Coturnix japonica: one gene and its partners. The protein of the gene in region 2 purifies or fractionates together with the protein of the main gene of each other region. This does not show direct contact. Links are inferred from orthologs where the notes say so. Each region holds a gene or a part of one and is shown on either strand. Other genes may lie near its edges.

What was found. Proteins that work in one complex are often made in the same cells at the same time.
Region 1: the proteins of VAMP4 (region 2) and STX7 purify together in Homo sapiens (affinity purification with mass spectrometry; 3 studies listed by BioGRID and IntAct, counting the BioPlex papers as one, with this or other methods). This does not show direct contact. The link is inferred for Coturnix japonica from reciprocal best matches to the Homo sapiens genes VAMP4 and STX7.
Region 3: the proteins of VAMP4 (region 2) and VTI1B purify together in Homo sapiens (affinity purification with mass spectrometry; 4 studies listed by BioGRID and IntAct, counting the BioPlex papers as one, with this or other methods). This does not show direct contact. The link is inferred for Coturnix japonica from reciprocal best matches to the Homo sapiens genes VAMP4 and VTI1B.

What each region holds. Positions count from the first base shown.
Region 1 is NC_029518.1:51,546,553-51,550,052, reverse strand, and holds part of STX7 (syntaxin-7), read right to left. Parts: intron 3,146-3,500; coding exon 3,008-3,145; intron 2,285-3,007; coding exon 2,232-2,284; intron 1,549-2,231; coding exon 1,458-1,548; intron 247-1,457; coding exon 174-246; intron 1-173. UniProt on the Homo sapiens protein: May be involved in protein trafficking from the plasma membrane to the early endosome (EE) as well as in homotypic fusion of endocytic organelles. Mediates the endocytic trafficking from early endosomes to late endosomes and lysosomes.
Region 2 is NC_029523.1:6,871,458-6,875,435, forward strand, and holds the start of VAMP4 (vesicle-associated membrane protein 4), read left to right. Parts: upstream 1-1,178; 5' UTR 1,179-1,342; coding exon 1,343-1,408; intron 1,409-1,666; coding exon 1,667-1,713; intron 1,714-1,887; coding exon 1,888-1,938; intron 1,939-3,978. Other genes in the region: MYOC (myocilin), read right to left, coding at 192-702. UniProt on the Homo sapiens protein: Involved in the pathway that functions to remove an inhibitor (probably synaptotagmin-4) of calcium-triggered exocytosis during the maturation of secretory granules.
Region 3 is NC_029520.1:27,593,227-27,596,947, forward strand, and holds the end of VTI1B (vesicle transport through interaction with t-SNAREs homolog 1B), read left to right. Parts: intron 1-870; coding exon 871-1,044; intron 1,045-1,758; coding exon 1,759-1,820; intron 1,821-2,805; coding exon 2,806-2,902; 3' UTR 2,903-3,221; downstream 3,222-3,721. Other genes in the region: ARG2 (arginase-2, mitochondrial), read right to left, coding at 3,303-3,508. UniProt on the Homo sapiens protein: V-SNARE that mediates vesicle transport pathways through interactions with t-SNAREs on the target membrane. These interactions are proposed to mediate aspects of the specificity of vesicle trafficking and to promote fusion of the lipid bilayers.

The DNA.
Region 1 (3,500 bases), on a different chromosome or scaffold from region 2:
AGTATCTTTATGGATCCCCAGTAACCTCAATCTACCTACTGTTAAGTTGCACCTGATTAGCTTTAGCATTAATGCTCTTGCTAGAGGAATTTTCCCAGCAAAATAAATTTTCTGCACTGCTGCTCCCCAAAGACATGAAATAACTTTTCAGATAATAGTTGAGTTGGGCTTACCTATCACATCGCCTTGCTCATGAATCATCATTCCTAAGTCTTTAAAAATTTCATTGATGTCCATAATATCAGACTGCAAGGAAACAATCATAACATTACTTGAAAGAGCATAACAAGATATCTGTAAATATATCTAAATATATTACTCATTTTTTTCCTGCATATACACTCTTCACCCTACCAAGAAAAAGAGAACTTTTAATATTTATCTGGAAGAATTTTTTGTACTACCAGACAAAGTTTATTAAAATCAAACTAACTGAAGATGACTGTGCATGAAGCACAATTCATGTCACTTCAAAAATAGGATCTATCACTGCTGAGGGCTCATCTACACACAAGCTTGTCTCAGTTTAAGTGACGAGGCAGGTTCACGCCAGCTTAACTTAATAGATACCAATTTAAACAAAATGAATAGAAGTATATGCACAAGATGCTTTGCACTAGTTTTAGGAAACACTTCAAACACACTTAAAAGTTGTAAGCAACAAAATTTACAGAAGCGGCATCTTTAATATGAAGCCAAGCTACTGAATCAGGATCACACTACCCTACTACTGTTTGGCTGTAATGAATTTATATGTGTCACATTGTCACTATGTGAATGACCTCAACTAATAACTGATAGATACTTAGTTCATTGCATATCCAACATATGGATGGCAAGGGAGAAATTATCACAATAGCATCTTTGTTGTTGATGGAAGACATGTGGATGCCAGGTTGGCTGGAAAAGCTTCCTTTGTCTTCACAGAAGTCTCCTGAGGTCAGTATTTTATCACATGATACTGGTATACTTACAACTCAATGCTAAATGCTTTTATTTTTTTTGACAAACCCTTAATTACAGAAGGTTGAGTACAGCAGTGCATCTCTATTTCCAAAAGAAGTATTCAGGAAAAAAAGGAGAACAAAATATTCTTACAAAATGAAGAAGCTGAACAATTGGGAATAGCTGGGTAGGAAGGTACAGCCTTGCTTCAATTTATTTTTGTAAAAATAAAAAACATAACTGACAACTTTTTCCTTGTTACCTCTGAACATTTTCTTATTTCTCAATGAAATCATCTGGGATTAAACACATCAAAACACGGCTTTCACACCCTAGATTTCTAACGTACATTTAACATATCACATAAAGACAGTATTTGTAGAGTTGAAGAAAAAACTCCCCACAAACAATTGCTAGGCCCCCAGGATTTATGCTAACATGAAGTGATTTGTTTTTCTTTGGAAGCATTAAGAGTATATTCTGAAACCTGCTGTAAAACTGTTTATGCCTACCTCAAGCTGCCTAATGGAAGATTCCCTCTCCTCAATAAGACGGAGATCATCCTCTGTAATTTCTTCATCTTGCACTTGTGCTTGAGGTTGACTGTCAAAGAAAAACAACCAAAACCAGAATTGAAGAGTTTCCATGAGAAATAAATTAGAATATGAAGAATAAAATGACAGCCAAACACATATGCACAAAGTTCATCAGTTAAACCACACATTTTTAGCCTTCCATGTCCAGGATAGGTCTAATGATGCTACCTCTGATACAGGAAGCTGCTGCTGTAGCAATCTGCATATAGCATTGAGCGAGCTCTTTGGAAATTCCAAGTAAGAATGTGAGGACAAAGTTCATCTGAATTATGAGTATAAACAGGCAAAATTAGGCTAACCAGTATCAACAGAATCTGAGACCGAGATGCAGTTTTTCTGAGACTGGAAATAACAGGAGAACCCAGTAAATAATGGATCAATCACAGCTTAACAGTTTTACACTAGTCACAGGTTGGACTGTGCTTATCTAAGCTTGGGTATCCCAGAGCCCAGATATGGACGTGGGTCAGCTAAAGATGATGATTGAGGTGTAGGAAATAAATAAATAAATAAATAAATAAATGCATTTCTTCCCATCTATCCCACTAAAAAGGCTCTTTCTCACAATTTCACTATGAAGGAAAGCCTACAACAAAACAGCAACTCTTCCCTGTAAGCCCTTTTTAAAATTTTTATTTATTTATTTTAAATTCTGAACTAGGTTAAGTTTTAATAAGAAATTCAGCCTACCTGTCCCAGGAGACAAGTGTTCCTTCTTTGTAGCTGTCTTCAGGAGCACCACTCTACATGATCGGTATATGGAGAAAAAAAAATAAGGTAAAAATATCATGGACCAGAAAGGAACACTGTCAGCATTTCTATAATGAGTAAATATTACAAGGCTTATAAGAAGTCAACTTCAAACTGAAACATGACTTAACATGTTTGCTTCTCGATTTTGCTTTCTGTATGCATAAAGTTGAAATACAGGCAAAAACATTCAGCTCACTAAATGCCTGTTAAAATTTACAAGTACAGTGACATGTATTTGGCATAGAGTAAAAAGGCAAAACTGACATGCTAACATCTCAGGCTCCTCAGCACTTCTCCACATCAATAATGCATAGCTACTTGGCAAGCAATTCTTCCTGGTAGAAAAAGTCCCCATATCTAAACGCCCAGAAAAAGTATTTCAAGATCACTAAAAACTACTTTTGTAAGGTTAGTGTACAAACTCAGGGACATTCTGTACCTTCATGTGACAAAGGCAAGGAAAATAAAACAAAACAAAACTGCTTTCAGGAGTTTTCATTACAGTGTATTTCAGCCTTTGCTATAAAAGGAACTGTTAAATTCAGTTGTGCGTGGAAGTAAGCAAAGAAAGCCACCGTGCTCATAATCATATTTTACACATTTTGCAACATTTGGACTCAGATATAAGCTCTTGCTAAAAGCATTACAAATGCCCTTTTGACACCACCACCGCACCATAAACAAAGTATAATAGCACATTTTCTAGTACTTACAGATATCCTTGAGCTGGCCCTTACTCTGGCTACAAAGTCTTTTTCTTTCTCAGCAGCTTGCCTTTGCAGCCTCTGGAAATTTGTGAGCGCTGTGGTGAACTCCCCTACAAGACGATCTTTCTGTATTTTCTTTTGACGCTATGGGAGAAGAAGTTTTACCAAGTCAAATGAGATCAGGCTTTCTAAGACTCATCATTTCCAGTCTACTCAGTACTAATTACTAAGGTATGCTTTTCTTTTTTCTTCCCTAAATAGGTATAACAGAAAATTGCCTACTAAAACATTTGCATGGACAAACCTTCCCATCCCCTGCGATTACATAACTCTGACACAATTTTAGGGATTTAAAGAGGAAACCAACATATTTAGTTCATTTAACAGCTGAAAATGAGAAATGAGCAGGTCATATACAATGTACTACACACTGACACAAGGATACCTGATTACTAAATTTACTTTGTGGTTAAGTGTGAAACATTTTGATGCTGTGAAA
Region 2 (3,978 bases):
GAGAGGGCTTGGGGGTCCCCATGCTGGGTCCTCGCAGTGGGTAGGCGCTATTCTAAGGGGCAAAGGCAGGTGGCCCAGGTGGGGGCACAGGCTGCAGGGTGTAGGGGAGGACAGAGGGACCCGATAGCGCGGGGAGGATGTAGGACTCGGGGCGCAGAGGATGCCCGCAGATTCCCACCCCCAGCACTGACCTTTGCTGGCGGAGCGCAGGGTGTCGCGGCCGGGCACCCCCCCCGTTCCGGAGGGACATTGCGCGGCCCTGAGCCGGGCGATCTCCCGGGCGCTGCTCTCCAGCCGCCGGCCCAGCTCCTCTTTCTCCCTCTCCAACCTGCCCTTCTCCTCCTCCAGCCGCTCCTTGGCCCGCTGCAGCTCTTCGCACCCCCCCGGGGCCGCTCGCTGGGGGCCCCGCGACCACACTCCGCTCACATCAGCGCCCCTCGGCCCCGAGCCCCCCATTCCCCCCACACCTCCCGCTCCCTCCAGGCGGCTCAGACGGGCGGTGAGCGCGGCCAGCTCGTCTCTCAGCTGCGCTACGGCACCGGCCTCGGGGCAGCTGGCCTCGCCGGGACTGGCCACCGTGAAGCTGTAGGTGCATCGCCCGCTGCCGTCGTTCTCTCTCCGCAGCAGAGCGGCGGGGTCCCCGCGGGCGCTGGGGGCGATGCCCCCCGCCAGCAGCAGCAGCGACAGCCAAGCGCCCGGCATGGTCCCTATCGGCACCCCGCTCTGCCGCCGCCTTTATAGGGCCGCGGGAACCTTCCAGACCGCCCGGCCCCCCCGTGCCGCCCGTTGGCAAAGCTCCGGCACCGCGGGGTGGCCCAGGCCAAACTATTCGCGGCCGCGGGCCAGGGCTGCGGCGGGAGGAGATGGACGGGACGGGCAGGAGGGGACCCCATGGGAACACGGGTGTCGTAACGGGGGACTCAGCGCCGCGACAGCCCGCAGCGCAGGGGGGGCTGCCCGCGGTGCTGCCCCAGAGCTGCCTTCCATCAGCTCGGGGCTGTACAGCTGCCAGGTACGGGGGTCCCATAGCACTTATGGGGGGGGGTGGATAAAGCAGGTGGAGCAGCGCCGGGACGTGGAAATTCCCCGCCGCAGACACCGGCTGCTCGTGGGCATCGCAGCCCCCGTCGGGCCGCCCGCCCATATACAGACCCCGCCCATACACAGACCCCGCCCACACACAGACCGCGGTGGATCGGGTGGATCGCTCGGCACTCGTTGGATCGCAGAGCGGCTCGATGGCTCTGCCCGGTTCCGGTGCTGGAGGCCATTTGCCGGCCCGGCCCGCTGCCCGCTGAGGGGCCGTGTCCGTCCTCCCGGTTCCGGTTCCCCGGCAGGGATCATGCCGCCCAAGTTCAAGCGGCACCTGAACGATGACGAGGTGACGGGCTCGGTGAAGAGCGAGCGGGTGAGTGCGGCCGGGCCGGGCCCGCTGTGCTGCAGCTCGGCCTGAGGGGCGGCAGGGCCGGCAAACACCGCTGGGTGCTGTGACAGCACACACAGCTCACAGGGTACAGCAGCACAGCTCCCGTACCTGGGAGGCAGCGCTGATGGTCTCCCATGAGGGCTCAGCACTGCCCTGTGCTCTGAAGGTGCTGGTGGTGTCCTAATGTCTGGGGTGTCATGTGAAGAGGCTGACACTGATGGTGTTTTGCTTTGTTCACAGAGGAACCTTTTGGAGGAGGATTCAGATGAAGAGGAGGACTTTTTCTTGTGAGTTTCTGAGCAGACACGGGGCGTGTGATGTTTGAACCGCCTGGAGCTCTAAGGCTGGGAGTGCTGATACCAAGAGCTGCTCCCTGCCCTATTGTGTACCTTTAGGTCTTTGATTTAAACACATGTTTTCATTGCATCTGCTATTGTAATTCCTGTCCTTTTCTGCTGCAGGAGGGGACCTTCCGGACCGAGGTTTGGACCCAGAAATGACAAGATCAGGCAGTAAGTTCGTGTTCCTCTGTATCGCTCACATAATATTTTATGCTGATGTTACAAGCTCCTGCTGCTCTGTTAGCAGACTATTTTTCTGTAGTTCTGATCAGTGGCTCGTGCTTTGTTTCATCTGATTGTAATTTCACAGCCCGTTAAGGAAAATCAAATTTGTTTCACGTTATCAAGGAGCTGTGCTTTAATAGCAGAAGAGGGGTAGAACTTTATCACAGTGTCATGGTGGAGTTTCCAAAGCCCGTGGTATATTTTAGTGATAATGAGGTAGAGGTGACCTGGAGATGAGCAGTCACTCAGTGGGGTCGAAGCAGCTGGAGAAACAGGAGCCCTGTACAGCTGGAGCAGGATCATTGGCTGTAACAGGGCGAGAAGAGGGAAGGAAGGGACACTGAGTCCTCCAAGTGAGTCATTTCCTGGGTGATGCTTATTCTAGGCTCTGATTAGCCCTGCTCCTTCCAATTAGAGAAGTGATGGTGACACTTAATGGGAAGGACGGGGTGCTCAGAGACCTCTGTGTTGAGTTGTGCTGTTGTATTTGCTGGCATCCACGAGGCAGAACAGAAGTCAGAGACCGATGACTGGACGTTAATCAGGCCGTATTGTTTTGTGTGCAGCCTTGGGGTTACTCTTCATTAGGAATGTTTTCTTCATGCCTTGAATCAGCCAGTGCATCTCTGAAATGAGTCATTGGGAGCTAGTGTCAAAGAGGCTCTTCTAGGTGAGACTTAACTAGGGACAATTCTGACTTTTCCAAGTCCATGGTGAAGTGATTTAATAATGGTATTTTAGGAGTTTGTGGAGTTGAATTGAAATTCCTGACCAAAGGAGGCAAAAGGATCTTTTCAGTCCAGAAAGCGAAGTTATTTAGGTCTAAGCAGGTTGGTTTGGCAGGGTTTGTTAGCGCAAACATGTGAGTAGGGGTTGTTGTGTTGTTGTTGTTTTCTTTATGTGGAAATGGGCAGCTAATAAAATCCATCTTGGCTCCTTCCGTTCATATTCTCTGCCCATAAAGTTCATTCATGGTCACTGGAGAGCAGCGTGACTGAGAGGCTGGTGGTGTCTTTGGGATCTTCTTTGGAATTTCTACACACTATTTAGTTTTCTGACCCTCTTTATTTAGTTTCTGACCTTCCTTGACTTTCTTTGGTCTTCTCTGAGCTGGACTTCAGTAAGGCTTTTGTCATCGTCCCCCATAACAGCCTCATAAACGGGTTGTTGTTGCTGTGGGATGGATGGGTGGACTGTGGGGCTGGGCCAGTTGACCTCCACAGCTCAGCCATTCTCTGGCTTAGTGACTCAGTGACAGCTGTAGGCAGTGCTGAGCTGTGTGCCTGCTCACTGCGTTATCTTGAGAGGCAAAGTGCATTTGAGTTATGCAGGAGGGTGGATTGGCTGCTGTGTCCTGTGTTTTCAGTGGGCCTGTGCTCTCTCTCGGGCATCAAGATGCTGCTGGTAGAGATGTTCAGGTTGTGGCAGGGAGGCAATGTGGATACAGCCTTCGTTGTGTGGTGCTGTACTGGTCTGAAGTGAGTGAGGATGACAGTTGTGAGTGGTGTCAGCTCTGTAAAGTATATGGGAGAGTTAATGCTGGCCTCTATCCTCCTCTGCTGGAGGGAAATTGCAGAGGGTCTTCCCTGTGCATAGCAGAGAGGGGCAGGAGCTCTTCCCTTCCCATGTGTTGGTGAGACAGAAGGGCCATGGGGGCTTGCAGGGAGCTGAAGGAGAGCACTGCAGCTGTGAACAGGAAGAAAAAAGAAAGAATTCACCAAGGAGCTGTTGGGTTTATAGCTGGACACCAGTCATATCATGACATATACAGGGGCGCAAGGCTGCTTGTCTGGTGAAACAGGAGCAATTTGAGTGTTGGGAGAGCTGAGGCTTAGCTGGGCAAAGCCAGAGAGACTGGAGCAGTGTGTTGCTGGAGGGAACAAAGTGTGAAGATGTGTGTAAAATGAAACTGGTAAAATGGGCAAAGGAAAAAGTAACGGGATCACGGGAGCAATGGTGGAGAACATGGTGAATGTAATGGGCGAG
Region 3 (3,721 bases), on a different chromosome or scaffold from region 2:
CATATTTTTAAGAGACTCGTTAAGGATAGTGAAATACTTTATTTAAATCACTCCCCTGCTGAGAAGAATGGTAAACTGATCTCAATCTTAACCCCAAAAAGGGATGTGACTTACATACACTGTACAGGTTCTTCCATAGAGCCTTCTCTTAAACAATCTCATTTTTTATATACTTTCTGGAAACTGTTTTGTCTTCCTCTGTCTCGTGCAGTAATGGATGTGTTGCTGCAGAGCAAGAAATACACTGGTTTACTGCATCTATTTAGGTATGTCCAGGGTAGAGAGAATGAATTTGCTTGCTGTCTTCAGAGAGGTGTCTATATAGAAAATTTGTGGAAAAGTGTTGGTTTTTTGTTTGTTTCCCTGCCTTAGTTAAGAAATGTCTGGGGGAGTTTCCATAATACAGTAGCTAGGTATATTTTTGCATTTGATTCCTCTTGATTGCTAAAACCCAAGAGCAGGATGATGGGTCAGACTTTTTGAAGCTTAAGAAAATCTGAGTTACCTGTTCACCCTGAGGTCAGCAAACATTTCTTGCTCTCTGTCTGCGGCTACTGGCTTTAATAGAGGAGCTTTGTTACTTAGCAGTCCATCTGCTAATGCTTTTTGTCTGTGACTGAGTAAACTCCTAATAATCTCCTTGGCAACTAGCTGTAGTGTCACAAATGAGACTGACATTAAATCTGAACAAAAGGAAAGCATCTGGAAGAGCCCAGATATTGTTTTCATACAGATGTTGCTCAATAGAACAATGAATTACTGCAAAGACAGTTCTTTGTAGCTGAATGTCTTAACTCTTTAACTGCATACCCTTCTTTTTCAATACGTCAGATCCTGGTGTTTAATAGTTAAATGTATATTTTTCCTCAGACTAATCTGCAGTCACAGAGGGTGCTGCTTCTCCAAGGAACAGACAGTCTGAACCGAGCCAGTCAGAGCATTGAGCGCTCACACCGGATTGCTGCTGAAACAGATCAGATTGGTACTGATATCATTGAAGAACTTGGGGAGCAGAGAGAGCAACTGGAACGCACCAGGAGCAGAGTAAGTGGAGATCCTGTGGGCAGTGTGCTCACACAGCCCAGTGTTAGCTTAGAAATGTATGCCAGTCATTGTACTGGGAGACCCCCAGATGGGCTGAGCCGGTTGATGCTTTAACATACCAAAGGCTGCCACATTACTGTGTTGTGCTCGTGAAATGAAATTGAATGGCAGCAGCCAACACTAACCTTGCAATATTTGTACATTAGCTGAGGCAACAGTTTGGTTCATTTCTGAGTGTTACCAAGCTGAAATGGATCATCCATTAACAGTTCAGTGGTCAAATCTGTTGGGTCACATAGGCCTGTCAGGGCAACGTGTTTATTTTCTTTGTAGGGAACTTAATTGCATGTCAAACAGTTGTAGATATGCACTAGAGAAGAACATGCTGATAACAGACAGCAATTATATTCACAACTCGATTAAAGAAACCAATTAATAAAAGGGCCTCGCACCAACTTTACCAATAGAGTGTTTGTAAATTGCATGGAATCTTTGCATGTACCTAAAGGAATATATCCCCAACAGTCTTGTTTCTGCCTTAGTAAGGAGACAGCTGTTCCCTCTGTACTGTGCCTGGAGAGCAGTGTTGTCTCTGAATTTTGAGAACACATAGTTTGTGTTGAACGCATTTGTTGGTGTCTAAATGTTACAATTAAGAATTGCATTTGCATCTTCAGAACTGTAAACTGGTAAATAACTTTTGTTTCTTCTTAGTTGGTGAATACAAGTGAAAACTTAAGCAAGAGTCGTAAGATACTGCGTTCCATGTCCAGGAGGTGAGTAGCACCTGACTTAGAGGGATGCAGTATTCTGAAGGTTCTGTTGTTGCTTACTGTTTATGGAAAAAAGTAACAAAAGTGTCAACTGGAACTCTAGGGAGATATTAGGGGAAGTGTAGGTGAGCGAATACTACTGAATTTGTGCTGCAAATTATTTGTATACAGTTTTATTAAGATAATACTGGGGTTGTAACAATGAGGCACGATAGATTGTAGTGATGGGAGGGATTTTGACTAAATTACAGTCTATTTCTAAAGGTAAATTTTGAATAGTGTTTATTCAGGTTGGGAGACACTGTGGCATAAATCACTGCAGCATTAAGTGATTTAGGTGTCTGATGACAGAGACAAATCCATTGAGCCCACAGGAATGCCTTAGCACAGCTGGACTGTTATTTGAGAAACTCTGAGCTTGACCCTACCCTGTGCTGATGACTAAAGCCTTGGTTGCTTAAGTGTATTTATGGTTTAACTGTGTGGTTTAATTATTCTCATAAACCAGTTCATGGAATACTTTTTCAGTGGGTACTTCTGGTCTAACAAGCTTTTTCCTTTATAATTACCATAATTTCCTTTAGCAATAATTTTCAAAGGAAAAGTACAGTGAATTAAGACTAAAAATCTCAACTTAACTGTATTAATTGATGTAAAATTAACCACAGTGTAGGTTTTAAAGCTGCAGCAATTCAACTTAAGTGTTCCTTTGTGCTTAATTGAATAAACAGGCACACACAGAGCAGGATGCTCTGCCTTTCTGGGGAATGGGGGCAGGAGGAAAAGAACACAACTGCGGTTTTTGAAATAAAAGATGGGATATAGGATTTCAGGAAAAATTAAATGGGCACCCAAAGGTTGCCTTCTTAAGTGCTATTTAAAATAGTACTAGCAGAAACAGGGAATCTACTTTCTGAAGGTAAGAATCAGCTTTTTTTTCTTATAAAAGAGCCTTGGATTATTTGTGTTTATTATTTTTTAACTCTAGAATAGCCACTAATAAGTTGTTGCTGATGATCATCATCGTCCTGGAACTAGCCATCCTAGGAGGTGTGGTCTACTACAAATTCTTTCGCAGTAGATGAACCTTTGTGACTTTGTTTTCCACTGCTGAGGAGCAGGATGGGATGTCTCCTCTGTGACTGTCTAAAACTGAACTATCTCATGAGACAGCATGCACCACTGAAACTGTACTGACACGAGAAAGACAGTGAAAGGAAGCAAAAGGAAAATACAGACAGACTTGCAAACTACCAGTGAGATTACAGAGAAGGTAATAAATATTTTATTGTCTCAATTTGTATATACTTAACTAAGTGAATAAATCTTCATATGTAATACAGTAGCCACTGATCAAGTGCAAAAACTACTTTTATTTAAAAATCAAGAAGTTAGTTAACAGTATTTGCCAAGTGTTGACAGTCTATTTGCTCGAGTGTCTCAGCAGAGCTCTTTAACATCTAGCATACCCAGCATTGCGGGCTCTTAAATCCTCACTTGCTGTTCACTGTCAGATTCATCTGGAGAGCTGGGTGTTGGGAGTTCATCAAAAGCAGTGTGCGCCCCTTCTCTCGTCTGTCCAAAGCACGTTGCTATCACATCAACTGCAAGACTAGCAGTTGCATTCACTTCCTCTTGAGAAGCTCCAAGCAGCGGATTGACTTCAACCAGGTCTACAGCTGAAAGCATTCCTGTAAAAATTAGGTGCAGCTTTGTTACTATGTGTAGTGGAAATGCTAAATTACGGTTTGAACCTGTGATTGAACACCTGGTGGGAGGGCAGGGCCAACCCAGGGGAGCTCAGCTGCGTGTAGTGTGCCTGAGTGACCAGAAGGGGAGGAGCCAGGATCCACCTCTTCCCAGGCCTCATTTAAGGGTTGGCAGTGGAGGTGGGGGCATCTCAG